2 linked regions of the Tribolium castaneum genome follow. The protein of the gene in region 2 interacts with the protein of the main gene of each other region in a pairwise test. Links are inferred from orthologs where the notes say so. Each region holds a gene or a part of one and is shown on either strand. Other genes may lie near its edges.

Region 1 (3,139 bases), on a different chromosome or scaffold from region 2:
ATTGAACATGACTTGATGCCTCGGTATTTCCCCGGTACAAAGTCTTGGCCATTTGCGTCTTTCCCCCAACGAAGCGAGGTAATACGGCCGCATGTAGTGATCAGTTGGAGTTTCCTAAAACCATTTCTGACTTCATAGCCAACAATACAATAACACACAAACATTGAAACCATTTAGGCGATATGTAAAAATCCCCAGTTCGGGCACATCCTCAAAGTAACCAGTCACGTATCCCGCCTTCTTGTACTCATTCCAAATAAACGGGTACGAGTTCACGAATTTCGTGTTTGCGAACCGTTTTCTCGTATCAGGGAGTTCCAGTTCGGTCTTCCCCGTTAAAATCGGTATTAGGGCTTGCGGGGTTCCGTCCCCGATTATGTTATACCCTTGTAGAACGTCCCCGTGCAATATTTCAGTCAAAAACTTGTAGCTTTTGGGCAACTTTCGCACGAAAGAGTTGCGCGAAATTGAGTCGAAACCGAACATCAAAACGTTGAACTTCACAGCGTCCGAGGGTAGTTTACTCCAACTAGTATTCTCCCAAATTTTTTTATCGAGGCGAATTCCGGTCAAAGTCGCCGACCATTGGGCCTTTTGCCCCCGACACGAAACTTTGACTACATCGCTCGCTTCGAGTTTATAGTAGGAGTCTGAGTAGGTTGTTTCCCCACTGGTTGACTCAAAATCATTGACTCGGATTATATCAGTGAAAGAACAAGTGACGCGTCCGTGTCTCGCCTTAATTTCGTCCTGGATTCGACACTCGCTACCCTTGAATCAGCGTTTGAGAGTTGTGCTAAAATTCGGCAAAACTTTACTTGGCATTTGACCCAGTCCGGCCCTGCCGATGAACAGTCAATTGGGGGCTCCTCATGGACGAATTTCATCATTTCGGGGGAAAATACCGGCAAGTTGGGCTGTTTGCAAGCCAGGGAGCTCGCCTGTGAGTGAATCAGTTCGTCGATTTTTTCCCTAAAGGCCACAAATTCGAATTTACGAAAATAACTCATTCATACTCACAATCGGAATTTTCGGTCGATGTCATTTATTGGAGAGTCCCGTGTTACTATAAGTAACATCAGAATACCAAAGGCTGAAGAAATGGCCAGAAGAAACACTTTTCTGATTTGCATTGTTCTAATTATGCGCATTTTGTAACTAAAACCGTCCACTACCAACACGCCTTTAATAGCATTTGGGGTGCCTTATCACAATCATGATAACGAAAGTATTGTTTTCAACGCTTTATGGAACAAATCCATTGAATTTGTTACGAAACACAACAAAACATGATGACAAACGCCGGTGGGGCTATTTGTCACACCGATTTGTCAAATTGGATCATAGAATAAGAAAATAGCACCAAAAATCATGAACATTACAGTCGACCAAACAATCGCTGCCAAATTGGGTGCTTTCCGAAACGTCACCCTGACAAAAATCAAAAAGTTTGGACAAACTCACCGACTTATTTGTACACAATTAGTGATTCGCCCCCACGACTGCCTGCCATTTTGAGTGATATTTAATTATAATTTAATAAGCTGTATTAATTTATTGCGATTTATGGAACGTGCCAGTTTTACCAAATGTCAAAAAATGATAGGTTATGTCGTAAAGTGCCCGCCTTTTTCGTTTCATTTTCATTTTGTTAATAATTTTTAAGTGTGAAAATGGAAGTGAGTAGTGCGTCGACAACCGATGATTCATTTTACTCAAACGCCGTTCAGTATTGGTCCGAGATCCCCCCAACCATCGACGGTATGCTCGGCGGTTTCGGGCACATCTCTCAGACCGATATTAGGGACTCCAAATTGCTGCTCAAGCAGCTGTTTAACTCGAAGGAGCCCCCAGGCCGGGGGCACGCCCTTGACTGTGGTGCCGGCATTGGGCGCATAACCAAGCACCTCCTTAGCGATTTTTTCGATCAAATTGATCTAGTCGAGCAAAATCCAAAGTTTCTAAGTCAAGCCGAACAGTATTTAGGGCCCAAGTTGCAGGAGAAGGTTAATTATTATTCTGTGGGGCTCCAGAGTTTCAAGCCCGAGAAACAGTACGATGTTATCTGGTGCCAGTGGGTTTTGGGGCACTTGACAGATCTGGATTTAGTTACGTTTTTAAAGTCGTGCCAGTAAGTGTTTGCCACTTTTGGTTACAGTTTTTATTTGAAATTAATTATTCTTCCAGAAGTGGACTTAAACCAAATGGTGTCATAATAATCAAAGAAAACATTTCGTCAAGTGAGGAAATTGACAAAGACGAGCGAGACTCTTCAGTCACACGCCCCTTGTCTTTATTCCGCCAAATATTCGCAAAAGCTGACTTGGACTGTTACCGACAAGTGAAGCAACGAAACTTCCCCAAGGGCTTGTACACGGTCTACATGTTTATCCTACGACCCCAAAAACAACACGTACCTGATGAATAAAATGAAATAACTATTTTACGAAACGTTTTATTTAATTGTACAAATTAAGCTTTCAACGCGAACTTCCTCTGGGGGTAGATCGACCTCTTGTGGAGCTCCTTGGGCGTCTTGATGCGTCTCTCGTGTTTGGTGAGCGCACGGCGCAAAGCCCTGGTCTTCTTAGGTCTCAAATCCAGAGGCTTGTATTTCTTGTTCTTGTACAACTTCCGCAAATTCTCTTTTTGCTTCTGGTGCATCACAATGTACACGCGAGCGATGGCTTTGCGTACAACGCGACTGTAATTCGAGCATTACTTGGTGGCTGAAGCAAAACAACACTTACATCTTGGACAGTTTCGAGGGGGCGCCGCCCGTCACTTTGGCCACCCTGAGACTTGTGAGCTCGGTTTTGAGCTCATCGAGCTGCTTGGTGAGCTCCTTCTTGTCGCGAGTTCGCAGTTCGGAGCACTTTACCTTACCCTGAAAAAATTGTAGGTTAGTTAACCTAACGGACACAAACACGAAATTTGCGAGGAAAGAGGGAAATAACGCAATGCAAGAGTCGGGGGACGGTAATGGGGGCGAAACTTGGTCGTTTGGTTACCAGATGATCCGTAAATTATAAAATAAACTCAGATTTATTTAACTTACCATTCTGCCTTCCGCAACAACAATCTGAAAGAATTTACGTCGGTTAAGTTGGCACTACGACACCAGTTTAAATTTCTTAAA
Region 2 (4,048 bases):
ATTATTGTTTAAAAAATTTGTCGCGTCCTCAATTTATTTTAAATTTTAATTTACATTTATTAAATAAAAAACAATAATAATCTAGTTGCATGGTGTCAATAAAAATATTGACGTTAAAAATAATCTAGTTACAAGAAAAATAAGACATTTGACAGATGTGTAGTAAGTAGGTATTTTAGAAAAAAAATCGGCAATGTGCAGCTTTTGAGATAATAATGGCAGTGTCTTATTTGATATTATACAACTAGATTTAATAAGCTTTTATTACTTTTTCCGTTTTCGATTTTTTTTAAACAATACTTTCTTGTAAAAGCAGAATCACGAAGTATGATTTTTTATAAAAAGAAAAATGTGTTTTAATCATCTAGTCGTCTGTAAACTTCTCATGTAAAATTAGAGAAATGCCGCTTTATATACAGTACCGAAGGTTTTTCTAACATCTCATTCTTGCCAATTTTAAAATAATAATATTTATTTATTTAAAGCAAAACAGCATATAACTTGTTTTTTTGAGGAGCTGTCGAGTGATAATAATTTTTTTGCATTTGCTCCAAATTATTCCAAATTACAAAAATACCTATTATGATAACTAAATTGTGAAAGAATTAGGAGAAATCTTAAGGAAATCAGAGGAAATCCGGGGAAATCAAAGCAAAAAAATCGAGACCACACATTTATTTACCCATACTTTCTTTCTCATATTTTTCCAACATTGCCCAAACTAGAATACATTTAGTCATATGACAGGCACAATATTCTGGATGTTCGACCTCGGCAGGGTCCAGCATGGTCACCTCAATGTTGTACCGTCTTGGATTTTCCTGAGCTCGAGCTAGGGATAATTCGTAGGCAATTGGCGCTTTTTGCTCGACTTGGATTTCAGTCGGGAGAACGATAGTTGTTTGCTTCCAGTGCGTCTCTGGATCTTCAGGAGCAGTGGATAGGGTGACGGGTTCAGTCACAAAAGACGGGAACGTGCAAGTGAACCACAAACAAATCCCTTGGTACTTCCCCGCCTTGGTTGCCACAGCGATGTGCTGGACCTTAAACCCGTCAACTTCTTTCTGCGTTACTTCGCGTAAATCAATCCACAGCAGCACCTCAGGATCGGCCAAAATGTGCTCTTTGGCCACCGAAACAGTGCTGGGTTTGTGCGATGCCTCAGTGCGGAGCTTCTCGCTGAAGCTTTTCATGGAGACGCCTTCGATGTTGCCCCAGGAGTCGAACATTGAGGGGACGCTAGGAGTTTTATTTTATTATTGTTTTTTTTTGCGAGAGTGAAAAACACAAACCAGCAAGGAGCTGAGTAAATTGTTGCCGATTCGGGGAACATTAAACCGCCCGGTTTGAGAAATTTGTCTCGGGCGAAAATTACAGAGTCTAGCATGCCTTCGTGCAAAAGGTAGAAGCCCATCCATTCTGATACTATTATGTCGACTTTTTCCGGCAAAACTGTGTCCTCAATTCTGGAATTAATCACCTAAAAGGGCACAAAAGATAGCTCCAGTCGTAACTGGAATCTTCCGAAGTAAACATTGAAAATATTTCTGATGAAATTTCGTTTGTCAAAATTTTTTTTTAATTATTGCCAATTCACTGAGTTCTAAAATCTGTATTTGCGTCAAACATGAAATGATTCAGAAATTTTCATGTTCGCTTATCTAATTTATCATCGATTTGATTTATCGTATTATGACAGATTAGTCACAAAAAATTTTTATGAATGATTTTGCAATTCTTTCACTTTTTGTAACATAATAAACCGTTTATTGTACCTAGTTATTTTCCCAAAAATATGTTCTTAGTGCCTTCACAAGTGAAATTTTTAATTTATTTAATAATAAAAACATAAATAAACAATATGCACTGTCGAATAGATGAGATAAATGTTAAAATAAAATAAAATGTAGCTCCATTAAAAGCTTGGAGATTTTAGAGGGAAATATTTCCGTTCATATTTTTCAGTAATAATTTAATAATTTATGAAAAAGTTCTAAAAGATCACAGATTTTTATCTATTATTACAATCGAGAATTTCTACAGTAAGTGAACTACATTTTGAATTTAATCTGGAAAAACACACTTCATTAAATAACAAGTTCTAGATTGATTTTATATAAGATACAGTTGGTGGACTTGGAAATTTATTTCACTTCTCAAACCTTTAGAAGTTTATTGACCTTTTCATTACTTAGTTAATTACACAAAAAAATTCGTAGATAATGCGTCATTTTGTATGAAAATTATTCCAAAAAATCGTTAAATTGGATAAAAAATGCTATTATTTTTGCCTTATTGGAGCACTTAAACTCAGTTTTATGAGAAAATTGTATTAAAATGAGACGAGAAATCAAAAATTTGTTGAAAAATTATTTTATTTCCCCTATTTTTTCAATTATTTTGCCAAATTTAACAAAAAATATTCCGAAAAATGTCGAATTGTGTTGAAAGTAAGAGAAGTCAGAAAATATCTTTTCCTTTTCCAAACATTTTAGCACACTGTTTAAACATAAACACATTATTTTGAAAAATTCTATAAAAAAAACAACATTAGAAATGACATTTTCTTTTGCCTACGACTTTAAGCGTTTCACCTCTTTTTAAAAAACGCACTTAATTCACAAAATTTATAAAATATTACTAAACTGGATCGAAAGGTCCTTTTTGCTTCTTCCAAAAATCTTAACATTGGAGATTTTTTTTTATTTTTCGAGTGGTACATTATTGAGATAGAAACGTAGATTTTACAAAATTTTGCTAAACCTGGCTAAAAACTCAATAACTGGATCGAAAATGATATGTTTTTCGTCCAAAAGCGCAATTATTCAGAAAAATTTCGTCTAAAATTACCCAAAAAAATCACCGAATTTGGTAAAAAAGTTGTTCCTTTTGCTTTTTATCGGAAGTTTAAATATGATTTTGGTCGAAACACTATGTTTAAAAAATCACAAAACAACACGAGATCTCTGCGAGATCTGTAGAGAAAAAAAGCTCTTCCCTGTAAAAACATTATGAATCGAAAATCCTATTTAGGATTCAATTAGGTTCTTTTTTTGCTTTTTTCAATTTTTTTTATTATATTCCTAGAAATAAGTATCACTTATACTAATATTTGCAAAAAACAAAGCTTTTAATTAAATTTTTTAAGTATTTAATACTTAGAAAGCTTTAACAATTTTTTTCTTTTTTTTAATATCATCACAAACAATATTTTTTCTCAAGTGTAGCGGTTGCCATAATTTTTACAGAAAACAAAGCTTGTCGAAAAGGTTTTTGACGATAAAAAAAATTATGAACCGACAACAAGTAGTTAGGGTTTTAACTAATTTTTTTTTGTTTTCTCAAATTTTTATTTTATTTTTATTTTTCACGTATCATCCCGTGTTTTGATTATAATTAAAAAAACAAGGCATGTAAGAAGAACATTTGACTATAAAAAATTACAAACCAAATGTTACTAGTAGTTATTTTCAAAATAAATTAAATTTCAATTTCTTTTTGTTAAAAACGTGAAAAACGATCATTTATACATAAATTATCACGTAATCACGCGAGATTAAGCGCCAATTAACCCACAATAATTATGATAATCTATTGTCTGCAGCGCACTCGATCCATAATAACTACATTACAACTATTGATAAGATCCAATCACTTACTCACCTCAATCACCTTATCGAACCCATTTTCCTTGATCACCTCTCGAGCTATCTTACTCACGTTACTTGCCTCAACGGCATAGACTTTGGCAGCCCCAGCTTGGGCGCAGAAAACCGACAAAATCCCAGTCCCAGCCCCCACGTCCAAAACCCTCCTCCCCAAAATCTGGTCAGCATTGTCAAAAATCGCTTGCTTGTAAGCCTTATTCCTCGGTGCATCTCTCAACATGATCTGATGAATCTGAAACGATCAGATAAAACCGGAGATAAGGACGTGATTTTCGACAATTGGCGTCATTAGCTCCGATCAAGATGGTGAAGGCACAAGTGTACACCGTTGCGAAAATTTTCGACGGAGAAATCAAAGAAAGCGACCTGAAGTTGCATGA

The links.
Region 1: the proteins of Art8 (region 2) and Ntmt interact in a two-hybrid assay, tested with the Drosophila melanogaster proteins (2 studies listed by BioGRID). The link is inferred for Tribolium castaneum from reciprocal best matches to the Drosophila melanogaster genes Art8 and Ntmt.

What each region holds. Positions count from the first base shown.
Region 1 is NC_087398.1:11,363,485-11,366,623, forward strand, and holds Ntmt (N-terminal Xaa-Pro-Lys N-methyltransferase 1), read left to right. Parts: upstream 1-1,430; 5' UTR 1,431-1,589; coding exon 1,590-1,606; exon of another isoform or gene 1,607-1,609; coding exon of another isoform or gene 1,610-1,614; intron 1,615-1,666; coding exon 1,667-2,131; intron 2,132-2,187; coding exon 2,188-2,428; 3' UTR 2,429-2,451; downstream 2,452-3,139. Other genes in the region: uncharacterized protein LOC659581, read right to left, coding at 1-114, 163-771, 819-972, 1,021-1,151; RpL35 (large ribosomal subunit protein uL29), read right to left, coding at 2,473-2,704, 2,751-2,887, 3,059-3,061. UniProt on the Drosophila melanogaster protein: Alpha-N-methyltransferase that methylates the N-terminus of target proteins containing the N-terminal motif [Ala/Pro/Ser]-Pro-Lys when the initiator Met is cleaved.
Region 2 is NC_087396.1:23,002,209-23,006,256, forward strand, and holds the end of Art8 (protein arginine N-methyltransferase 6), read right to left. Parts: coding exon of another isoform or gene 3,972-4,048; exon of another isoform or gene 3,923-3,971; intron 3,901-3,922; coding exon 3,664-3,900; intron 1,481-3,663; coding exon 1,293-1,480; intron 1,240-1,292; coding exon 675-1,239; 3' UTR 661-674; downstream 1-660. Other genes in the region: prostaglandin reductase 1, read left to right, coding at 3,972-4,048.